Rattus norvegicus: one gene and its partners. The protein of the gene in region 3 interacts with the protein of the main gene of each other region in a pairwise test. Links are inferred from orthologs where the notes say so. Each region holds a gene or a part of one and is shown on either strand. Other genes may lie near its edges.

Region 1 (4,152 bases), on a different chromosome or scaffold from region 3:
TTAAGTCTTGTCACTCACTAAATGCTAAAACATGTAGACCAGACTGGCCTTGAACTCAGAGAGCTCTGCCTATCTCTGCCTCCTGAGTGCTGGAACGGGATGCCAAGCCTGCCTTTAAAAAACAAATCGATACCTTAAATAAGGCTAAACTTCTTTTAAACCCCATAGAGCATTTGTGTGAGCACAGTGGCACATGTCTTCACTTCCAGCACTTGGGAGGCAGAGGCAGATGGATCTGTGAGTTTAAGGCCAGTCTTGGCACACAGTGAGCTCTAGGACAGCCAGCATAATAAGAGTACTGCTGCTGTCTTCTGACACACTTGTGATGCCAGAAGAGCATCAGATCCCATTACAGATGGTTGTGAGTCACCATGTGGCTGCTGGGAATTGAACTCAGGACCTCTGGAAGGGCAGTCAGTGCTCTTAATTGCTGAGCCATCTCTCCAGCCCGCCATGAACTGATTTTTAAAAAGTAACATTTATGCAGCAGAGGCTGTTAATAGGTCAGTTTTTAATAACAAATAGGTTTGCAAACCTCAAAACCCAAAAAAGGATAGTGTATTAAAGTACCCAACTCTCTGGAGTATTATGAAGTCCATTCTATTTTTAGTAGAATATTACTCTTATATTGAGGTCACAGTTTTTCATTATTGCCTCATTTTCAAAATAAGGCCTGCCTACTTAGTGCACTGGGAGATATCCCATTACTGACCTATTTGTACAGAGAAATGAGGGGTTTTATGTCGCCAGCTCTTTTCTTACGGAATTTCATGAGTGTATCTGTTTTAAAACAGACCTAACCTAAATAAATTAGAGATCGAAGGAATCTGACACATCTGACAGAAGTTTCTGTCACGTCAGAGAAATACTGTCCAACAACTCCTATCTTATGATCTCTGTTAGCCAACTCACGGTGGGGCCAACTTAAACACTCAGAAAAGGAGCCAGGCATTGACTGTGGACACATGCCTTAGTCCCAGCACTCGGGAGGCAGACAACAGGAGATCTCTGTGAATTTGAGGCCATCCTTGGTCTATAAAATGAGTTTCAGGCCAGCCAGAGCTACACTGAGAAAACCTGTCTCAAAAAAAACCAAAAGCACCAGAGGGCAGAACATTATGGAGACGGCAGAGATGACTCAGCAATTTAGAGCACTCGTTTGCTCTTCCAGAGGACCTGAGATCAGTTCCCCCAATATCTTGATGGTGGCTCATTCCAGTTCCAGAGGATCACAGGCCACCCTGAACACTGTGGGCACCAGACCAGCATGTAGCCAAAACAGCCATACACATCAAGTCTTCTTAAAAATCTAAGAAAAATGGCTATTACCAGAGAATGAACTTAAGGTGGTTTTAAGAGAAGCCACAAGTGTGGACCCTGTAAATTGTTAGACAGAGGCAAATATTTTACACTTTCAATTTGTTTAACCTAGGAAATTACTCACAGTCACAAAATTAAGCTCTTTCATTACATCATCAATGATTCCTCGACGTCTGAGAGCTTTGATCAGATCTTCTGTTGATAAATGTTGTTGGTCAGGTGCTAATTCTTCTCGTATAGTCTCGGCAAGAATTTCTCTTATTCTGCCATGGACATCCATCTGTGGAGAAAACCCCACATTACAATTTACAAAATTATACCTGGTGGTGATGGTGCATGCCTTTATTTCTAGCACCCGGGAGGCAGAGACAGGTGGATCTCTGGAGTTCCAGGCCAACCTGGTCTATAGAGTTCCAGGACAGCCAGAAAAACTACACAAAGAAACCCTGTCTCAAAAAACAAAACAAAACAAAAAACCCAACAACAACAACAACAAAAAAAAACCGCACAAAAACAATTTACAACATTATAAAGCAGTTAAACGCCACTTGTAGATTTTAGGCTTCTGAAACTAATGGCAAGTGCCCAATGCCAATAAAATTGAGCTTTTTAAGTGGTGGAAGTTTTGAGCAACATACTAGAAACAATCTGAACTGGTTGGTTATCAACCTTTATTGCTGGTTGCCCGCAAATGATTCAATGAAAACAATTCTTAAGAGAGGGAGTGGAGGACAATCAAAAGAACACAGACCTAGAAGGAGGCAGAACAAAGAGCGAGTTATTTCAGCCTTCTCACTTATTCAACTTGCAACTCTAATTTGTCCGTCTATCTCCTTGCCCATCCGATGGAAAAGCGAGATTGTTTTGAGGATTCGCCAAAAGACGCTAGAGACGCAAACACCGGCGCACCAACACACCATAAAGAAGCTTTATTACTTCAGCTTACGGCCAGCAGTCGGGCGCTGCTGCTGGGAAGTCGCGGTTCTCCTGAAAGCCCCGAGCCGGGTAAACGCGTTCCTTGTCAGTCATTGGAGCGCCCTGTCTCCCATAACTTACTGCGATCGGGCTTCCAGGCGTAAAGAAACCCTAAACATCTGGCCTCGGACTACTTGTACATGAACATCTGGAAAGCGCCCGGACCGCCTCCGGTTTACAGCGGCTCTCCTCCACTCTAGCTAAAGAGCCTTCAGCGCTCCCTCGGGTCACACGCCCAACCGAAGCTTGCCCGCCGGCGCCCGCTCCACAGCCCTGGCTCCGGTCCCGTCCGCCCGAGCTCCTCACCTTGCTCAGCTGCTGGTGGATGAGCTGCTTCAGCTCAGAGGCTTTCTCCGGAGGCAGCGACATGCCGGCACTGGCGCCTCCCGGCCGCTACTCTCCGTCTCACACGGTGCAGCCACGGAGCCCGTCGTCCCGGCCGCGCAGCATCGGTGGCGGGCGTAGCACAAAGCGCCGCGGCCGCGTCAGACCTGGCAGGGCGGGAACCCTGCAGCCGCGGCGCCACAACTAACTGTCTTCAAACCGGGCGGACTGACAGTCGCCGGGGCTGGCCTGCCAGCTGCCTGATCGACGCGGTCCAACGCGCCGCCTCCTCGCGGGTCCCGCACGCGCGGTTCCCACGTCCTCTGTCGCAGGGCCTCGACCTACGACCCCGGGGAACGCCGCCTGCCGAGCGTTCGAGCCTCGTTCAGCACTGAGCGCAGGCAGTGCGTCGGACGCCTACAGGACCCGAAGGACCCGAAGGACCCGGGCGGATCGCGAGTTCCGCCTTCTATCCTAAGGATAGGTATCCTAGCTGTCCCGGACAGCGCTCCAGCTTCTCTTACGCCCACTGCAGTCATGTTCGTTCCCTGCGGGGAGTCGGTCCCCGACCTAAAGAACTTCACACTCCTGATGGTGAGTCTCCACTTGAGTTGGCGCTGTCGCCACCCCGACCCGGGAAGCGCCACCTGGCCTTAGGAGAGCCGGGCACGTGTTTCTGCTTCAGGCTTTAAGCCTGAAAAAAACAAACCAACAAACAAGTTGGTTATCCTTAGAGGCGGCGGTCCAAATTAGCACATTTGTCCGCTCTATCAAGGCCTGCCTGCTAGCTGAAGCCTTCGTTGCCTGGCAACTGTAACGTTTGTACATTGCAGATACATTGCACATAAGTGGCACCGGGGGAATCCCTAAGTTTTATCCGTTGAAGTGTTTTTATGTAGTTTGGGTCCGTGTTGATCTAGGCAATCAATTGCATTAGAGAGCAGATCGTTGTCTAAAAGGCAGTAGTAGAATTGTCCTTGTTTAGTCATCAAGGTTTACAATATAGCTAGAAACACGTGCATATACTAAGAGCATTAAATAAGACAGAAGTTTGAAAAAGAGAACGACCTGAGATTACCGACCTGCGGAAGTCTGGGTGGGAGTGGTTTGACCAAGATTGTATTCCCAGCATTCCAATCGTGAGGCAGGAAGCCCCAGCCTGAAAGACACCTATCCCCGCAAGAAATAAACAAATCAACAAGAACAACAAAGCTTGAGGGGAGGGGGCTAAAGAAATGGCTCCGTAATTAGAGCCTGTGTGGCTTACAGAGGATAGAATTCTTACATACTCACAATGAATGGCTTATAACTCCAGGTCCAGGGTCCCTGACACCCATTCTGGCCAAAGAGAATATCTGAACCCACGTCTGTAAGTACTGCGTGTACTTACAGACACAGTATTTTAAAATGTTTTTAAATTTTAAAAAGTCAACGGGAGAAACACAAGGGCTTTTGATCTTTTAGGAAAAAGATGGGCTTAGGATACCCTTCTGAAAAATGGACATCTAAAATCAGAGGCACATATTCCTGGAG
Region 2 (3,639 bases), on a different chromosome or scaffold from region 3:
GTACGGCAGCGCTTCAGCACTGGCCCGTCCGGCTCCTCCTTGATGTGTAGGTCAGGCTTCACAGGCACTGGTTTCCAGCTGCATGTGGGGTCGATGGTGATCTCCTCGTAGTCTGAGCTAAGCAGGGACAGATGGGTACTGGTCATTTGCCACACGCCTAGCACCTGCTGCCCTACTCAGCTGTCAGGAGGTTTCAACCAGGCCTTCTGCTCACTCTTGCACCCAGAAGCCTGCAGGGCACTTGGCAGATGTGCAGCAGGCACTGGCCGAGTGGAGCTGCTTCACCTTGGAAGAGGCTCCGAAGATTGCACTTACTCCAGGACTGCCCTCTGGTGGCCACAGATGAGGGGTAGCAGGAGGAAGACACTTACTTCTGAATATAAATCAGGATGCCTAGCATATACTGATCCACCTCCAGGCCCTCCAGCAATGCCGTCTTGCTGTAGAAAGCAAAGGACACTGTTTAGGGAGCCGAGCCTAGTGGGGTGTAGACCCTATCACTTTTCCAGCTCTATTACCTCTGTGAGGTGACTCTGTAAGGGCCCCTGTGTGCAACTGTTCATGGCATGTGTCAGGTGACCGGCCCCTATGCGAGGTGACCCTGGATAAACCACTATGGTAGTTCAGTGTGAGAGGTGCTGTGCAAGGCCACCTAGTAGGCACTTTCTGCCCTGAGATGGTCTGCTCAGGCTTAGGGAGCCCTTCTTGATGCTATTTTGTGTTTCACCCTCTGAGGAAGCCACAGGTCTAACCAGACTGACTTACTTGCACACCGGACACCTCCAGGTCCCCCGCTCACAGTTAAGCTGTAAGTATGACTCCAGGTCAAAGCACTGCAGAGACAGGGAGAGAGGCCATTCTCACCACCTCAGTGGACAGGGTTGTTAGACAGTCTTCAGAAAAGTATGACTTCTTTAGGTTGGTATTTAAGGTATGGGGTTTCTACCACAGCATTGCCTTTAACAGACCCAGCTTGGGATACCCCAAGCAACCTTCCCCAGCACTGTGTTGCCCTAGAACCAAAGCACTATGCATAAGGAACCTCTTCACCCAGGACAGGCTGGGTGTTACACGCCTTTAATCCCAGTGTTCGGGAGGCATAGGCAGGTAGACCTCTGTGTTTGAGGCCAGCCTGGTCTACAAAGGATTATTCCAGGACAGCTGGAGCTACATGTCACAAACAAACAAACAGACAAACAGACAGATGCACATATGTAGGGGAAACTGTGATTATGTTTCAAAGGAGCAAAACGCATCTCGGGGGCTGGGGAGTGAGCAAGGAGGCCAGGCCCCTATGGTGGGTCTGTCTTTTAGGTTATCTCTGCCAGCTGAGATACTGGTGTCCCACCCGACAAAGAGGATGAGGTTGAGAATTGAGTGTCTGCCTGCCATCTCAGAGTGTGGGAGCCTGAGGCAAGATGATTAGGAAGGAATTCAGGTTCATCCCAGCTACATGGTGAGCCTGAGGTCAGCCTGGGATACCTGAGGTCCCATCTCAAGGGGAAAAAGACACCTGAGACAGATTGTCATTATGTATCCCAGACTGGCTTTCCACCTAAGATCCCAGTGCCTCAGGCCCTGAGACCTGGGATTACAGGTGCAGATCCACACCAGGCTGAGTCTGTCTGTGAACCGCAGGTAAATGTGCCTTTATCTGAAGCTTTTACAGGCTCTGCAGCTGCCGGTACTAGTGTGCGTCTCAGCTGGGTGAATGCTGGAAGTATTCCTCTCCCAGGGGTCCTGTGTTATTTTATTCGTTTACATTTCAAATGCTATCCCCTCCCTGGTTATCCCTCCAAATGCCCTTCCCCCACTGTTCTTTCTTCTTAATATTACTAAGCAGTTTTCTCAGTTTGCACCTAGATTCCAGTAAATACGGAAGCACCTTTCTGGTTTCTCCACAAGCTCAAGATATCTTAAGGACAACAAATTTCAACAAATGTCTATAGGGACCACATACCTGTATGTGGCGACAGTCGTGACCACGAGCTGGGAGCTGGATCCTGCGGAAGGTGATGGGGCACTTCAGGGACACCTTGATAGCCGTCTGCTCCACCCCATCCTCTCCATTGGGCCCAGGGGTGCCAGGGATGGTGCCGCTACTGAAGTTCCGCTTTACTGACATTGACAGGGAAAGCACTTGAGTAAAGGTCCCCAGCACCGTGAGCTAACCAGGGACCCAGTCACTGCTCAAAGGCTCCTAGGAGTAGCCTGGAGGTACCCAGTGCCCCTGGGGAAGAACCACCAGTCTGAGCGGAAATGGCCTCTGGGCCACAAGGCAGGGTTCAGCCTGGGCACAGCACAGGAGGCTGAGGAATAGAAAGCAGCACTCACTCTTGGTGATGCAGTGCTCAGCTGGCAAGAGGCGCTTCTTGAGGAGACCCTGCAGCACAGAGCGGACAGACGGACGGTGCACCAGCTGCAGCACGAAGAGGTGGGACTGCAAGAAAATAAGGAATGTTACATGAAGAGTGAGTGGGCATGCTTCAGAGGACATGTCTAGGAGTTCATTCAAGGGGTGCCAGGCACAGAGGGAGGAGTGTGGTGTGGAAGAAAGCCAAGCCAGCCACCTTCCTGGCGGCCAGGCCCTCCTGAGTGTTGACACATGGGCAAGGCTTTTCTATTTTGTCACCACACTATCTCAGTCTCCACAGAGCACTCTAATATTCCTCAACCACTGCTAGTTTTCTGTCAAAGCACAATCACCTCAAGTTCCTGGAACTCCTGGCATGATGTGGCTCTGAGCCCCCCTCTCTCCATGCCCCCTCAACCAGCATGGCTCCTGGTAGCTCAAGGTCTACTTGGGATCCTGCCCACTGGAACCTGGTGAGGCCCAGACCAGTGCAGGCGGAACATCTTCCATGAGCTTTCTTGGTTTCTTTGACACAATTAACAGAAGCATTAATCTTTTTAATGTAACAGAGGGTACATTTTCCCTTTTCTTAAGTAAAGTAGGAAGAAAAGCAATATCTTGTTTCTCACGGATAAAGACCGTCACCCACAGGCTCCCAACCCCATAGGAGATGATAATCCGGGGGTGTCAGCTGGCCCCTGCCAGACCCCTGCCCACAGCGTCACAGGCCACTCACGCAGCAGCAGGCGGTGACGGTGATCTGGATGGTGTTGCGACCCGGCTGGCACACATGCTTCAGGTAGAGGGGCTTGTGCGAGGTCTTGTTGTCTCCACGCTCGATGCTGAGGGGTGTGGCATTGACGCTGACCTGCACCGAGGCCGGCCAGTTGGTGTTCATCTGCCGGTCCTCGTGGTGGTAGCACTTGAACTGCAGCTCTAAGTCAGGTCTAGGAGGGAAGAAGACGATGGCAGCCCGCACTGTGCAGCCACGGCCCAGGGGCAGGACGGTAGTGAGACTGACCTCAGCATCAGGGTTTTATACACAGAGTCTCGGAGCTGGAAGACATGGTTGCTCACAGCCAGGTTGTGCTGCAGGCGGAAGGGCTCCAGGACCACCCCATCCCGAACTGGGAAGGTCAGGCGCAGCTCGTCACAGGGGACGCTTCCTGAGGGCAGAGGTATGCAGGCCATGAGTCTGGTACCTTGCCAGAGCCACAAATCCTAACTCAACCCCAGCCAGAAACTGTAGAGGATGAGAAACCCCTACAAAGGGGGCTCCATTAGTG
Region 3 (3,645 bases):
ATCAAGTCGGTTCTTCATCAAGTAGATTCTCAGCAATGCCTATTTTAGCAACAATCCTCGACCCTCCACCATCACTTAAATAAACTGCCTTACCAACGAGGCTCTTTAGAGTCAGGAACTTTATGCTTCCTAAAATATCACACGAGAGGCCTCTTGGTAAGGAATATGCTTGTTGGTTGAGAGGCCTTGATAAGTGAGAAGCTGAGGGAGTCTTGGCATCTTGACCAGCCACTCTCTTTGCCTTAATGTGGTGAGTCGAGGAACATACTGAAAAAGGGATCCCAGTCCTTTGCGAGTCCCTACCGATTAGGGTGAGCCACCAACTACTGGAGTATCTTCATTGCCAGTATCCTCTGGAGCAGGGGGAAGAAGAAGTTACAGTTACTTCTTTCCTCTGGTGTGCTTGTTGGGCACAGCCTCAGCTACAGGCGGCTGAAGTAGGACGGAGGCTACGTTCTCCTCTGCCTCTCGGATCAGGTCCTTGGAGTCTCTGCCTCTCGGATCAGGTCCTTGGAGTCACCTTATCAAGCACAGTTCCTGGGCTTTCACAGCAATGATGGTGCTAGGGCTCAAGTGGCAAGGCAGGTCGATCTAGAACTCCAGGGCTCAGTGGGAAACTATGTAGTGGTTGCAGAAAGAAACCTACCTACCACTCCTCACAAGCTTTTCAAGAAGGTCCTGGCCCAAGAAAGTCTTGCAGGGTGTCTTGGTCAAGATCACTAAGGAATAGAGCTGGGCCTTCCATGGACAGTTGCCAGCCCCTTTGAACAAGGCTGCCATGCCAAAGATGGGGGTTCTAGGATACCTGCCGGAGGGAAAGGGGGAAGAGGAGAGAGCTCCCCCTTGAGAATGTAAAAGTTATATAGAACAAAAAGGTGATAAAAATTTCTTAGGGGACATTCCCTTTCAAATGCAATTGTCAAGCTCAGGGACTAGAGAGAAGCCACTAGAAGAAACATCATGTCAGAACTTGAGAAAAGACAAGAGAAGGGTGACTAAATCTTGGAGGTCCTTCTATGGAGCTCTTGGTTTCTGATCTCGCGGTCATAGAGGATCAGGTACAGAACACAGGCTCACGGGATGGCGGGGTCGTCTTTTCGAGGGAATGGGGAGAGCCCTGGAGAAGGGATGGAGGAGGAACAGCCAGGGACCAATGAAAGAGTAGCAATATTCTGAGGGCCGTGGGGTGCAAAGGGCGGTACCTGGTGGTGAGCCAACAGCATGTGTTTCTTGAGGGTGGCACGGTCGAGGAAGCCCTGCCTGCAGAAGACACAAGTGAAGAGCGGCCCATCCTTGGGGTGGGTCTTCTGATGCTCCTCCAGAGCTGTTTGGGTGGGAAAGCTCTGGCCACAAACTTCACAGGCCTTTCTGCTGCTGCTCTCTCCTGGCTCCTTTTTCATGGCTTCTGGTAAGTTCAGCTCTTCCACCGAAGGGGTGCTGGTGCCCTCCCCTTCTTGCGGGAGTGCCGCCATCGGGCTTGAGGTTCCCTCCAGTTTGGCCTCTTCCTCCATGCCTCCGGAAACATCACTGGGTCCTTGCTCCATGGGCTGGGGACGATCCAGGTTGTCGGGTGGTGGTGGAGGTGGCGGCAGAGCCTGTTGAGTGGCTTTCTCGTTATTATCTACCTCCTTCCCGTTGGTGGGTGCTGCTCCCGATGTTGCCGCTTCCTCCTCTGCCCCAGATACCTCTTCTGAGTCACCTCGTACTGATATGGCCTTCTCTCCCCCACTCTCTGAGCCTCTTCCTGCTAGGGAATCTTCATCTGTCACATCTTCCTCTTCTTCCTCATCCTCTTCTTCTTCCTCAGATATCTCCTCTTCTGCAGATGGCTGCTGGGCCTGCGGCTGGGGGAAACTTCCTGGTCCAGAGGCTGTAGACTGCTCAGAGCTGTTTTCCTGGGCAACTCCCCCACCTTCAGGAAGTGTGGAACCCCCGTTGGGGATCTGGCCCCCCAGGTGCATCCGAACGTGTTGTTGCAGAGTGACAGCATTAGTGAACTTCTTCTGGCAAATGGGGCAGGAGTTCTGGGCCCGGGCAGCTGGACTGGTCTTGTGACCCACGAAATGTGCGCGCAAATTGCCCCTTGTGGAGAAAGCTCTGCCACACACTTTACATTTGAAGGGCCGCTCACCTCCATGTTGGCCATAATGCAGGCGTAGAGCCCGAGGGCAGCTCAGCACCCGGAGACAGATGACACACTGGTTAGGTCCAGAAGCGGAGGATGAAGGTGCGGGGGCAGAAGTAGTGGGAGCTCCCGAGGCAGTAGACGCCACTGCCACAGCTCCTTGGCGGTCGATCTTTTCTACCAGCTGCTGCAGCTTTGAGGTCTCAGAAGGCGAAGCCCCCAAGGGTTCTAGCACATAAGGGAAGGGGAAACTTCCAGTTGACTTCAAGTGATTAGTAAGCAGCGCCCAACTCGGTAGCGATGTCACCAGCTTACTTAGCTGCATTCGGGTGGCTGAGCCGCTGTCCGCTACTCCTGAGATGGCTGAGCCCTCACTCCCCGGGGGAGTATTCTCATCCACTTTACTCTTGGGCTCCACTGCTTTCATGAGCACAAACTTGTTGAAAGTAGGGAGCCCAGGAGCCACTGCTGTGCTTGTACCAGTGGAGAGCAGCGTCAGGCTCTCTGTGGCACTGAGCGCTGTGGTGGAGGCCACTAGAGGTTTGCGTTCAACACCTCCGCCCGGTGTGGCTGCCTCCTCCTCTGCTTTCTCTGGTGGCACCGACATTCCATAAGGCAGCCCACTGCTGGTGATGACGTAGTCTAGGTGCTCTGGTACCGGATGTGGATTCATTTGCACATGTGGGTACTTCTCACGATGCCGGTGGAAATGTACTTTGAGGTTGCCCCGAGTAGTGAAACGGTTACCGCAGACATTGCACTTATAGGGCCTCTCACCAGTGTGGGAACGAAGGTGGATCTGCAGGGCGCTGTCACTGCCGAATACTTTGGCACAAAAGCGGCATTTGTGCCTTCCACCGGGCTTCTCCAAGGAACTGATCACTTCCCCATAGCCCAGCTCACCGCTTCCGTTCTTTGGCTTCAGGAGCCCTGGAGAGGCTGCAGCTTCAAGGCCCCTTGCTGCCCCAAGACACTGAGCTGCCAGGAGTCCTGTGGTGCCCGGGAATGCCAGATGAGGTGAGGCAATCAGCTGATCCGTGCTGCCTGGCAGAGCAGGGGAGGGGGCAGGGGTAGGTTTGTGGCTTCGCCCAACCCCTCCTACAGAGAAGGGATGCTGGGATCCCAGTGGATGGTAAAGGTGGAAGAAAGCCTGCTTAGGTGGTTCTGCCCCTGAGGAGGAGGACGACGAGGAGGAAGATGCCAGTGTCTTGCCAGTTTGGGCAGGCTTGATGGGACTGAAGAGAGGCAGTAGGGGCTTGGTGGAAGAGGCAGTGCCTGTCCCAGGTAGCTCTGAGGGACTGGCAGGGGCGCCCACTGTCTGTCCTAAGGAGCCAAGTAGCAGCACCTGGCGGCAGATTTGCTCAGTCATCTGCATCTGATGAATCTGGCGCTGCTGCAGCACCCGCAGCTCTTCCAAGATGAGAGGAATGTTCAGGTGGCCACTGCCTACACCTGGAGGTGGAGGTGGAGGTGGTGGAGGAGGGGGTGCAGGGGTAGATTCTGGAGGTAATGGGGTTGCT

Evidence for each region.
Region 1: the proteins of Sall2 (region 3) and Cep76 interact in binary tests that used the Homo sapiens proteins (3 or more experiments, as listed by UniProt). The two-hybrid records come from large-scale screens. The link is inferred for Rattus norvegicus from reciprocal best matches to the Homo sapiens genes SALL2 and CEP76.
Region 2: the proteins of Sall2 (region 3) and Zmiz2 interact in binary tests that used the Homo sapiens proteins (3 or more experiments, as listed by UniProt). The two-hybrid records come from large-scale screens. The link is inferred for Rattus norvegicus from reciprocal best matches to the Homo sapiens genes SALL2 and ZMIZ2.

The regions. Positions count from the first base shown.
Region 1 is NC_086036.1:63,475,534-63,479,685, forward strand, and holds the start of Cep76 (centrosomal protein of 76 kDa), read right to left. Parts: upstream 2,826-4,152; 5' UTR 2,665-2,825; coding exon 2,602-2,664; intron 2,198-2,601; exon of another isoform or gene 2,072-2,197; intron 1,601-2,071; coding exon 1,445-1,600; intron 390-1,444; exon of another isoform or gene 167-389; coding exon of another isoform or gene 134-166; intron 1-133. Other genes in the region: Psmg2 (proteasome assembly chaperone 2), read left to right, coding at 3,157-3,213. UniProt on the Homo sapiens protein: Centrosomal protein involved in regulation of centriole duplication. Required to limit centriole duplication to once per cell cycle by preventing centriole reduplication.
Region 2 is NC_086032.1:85,475,325-85,478,963, reverse strand, and holds part of Zmiz2 (zinc finger MIZ domain-containing protein 2), read right to left. Parts: intron 3,520-3,639; coding exon 3,375-3,519; intron 3,301-3,374; coding exon 3,090-3,300; intron 2,441-3,089; coding exon 2,335-2,440; intron 2,119-2,334; coding exon 1,961-2,118; intron 834-1,960; coding exon 766-833; intron 441-765; coding exon 372-440; intron 118-371; coding exon 1-117. UniProt on the Homo sapiens protein: Increases ligand-dependent transcriptional activity of AR and other nuclear hormone receptors.
Region 3 is NC_086033.1:27,495,334-27,498,978, forward strand, and holds part of Sall2 (sal-like protein 2), read right to left. Parts: coding exon 1,074-3,645; 3' UTR 1-1,073. UniProt on the Homo sapiens protein: Probable transcription factor that plays a role in eye development before, during, and after optic fissure closure.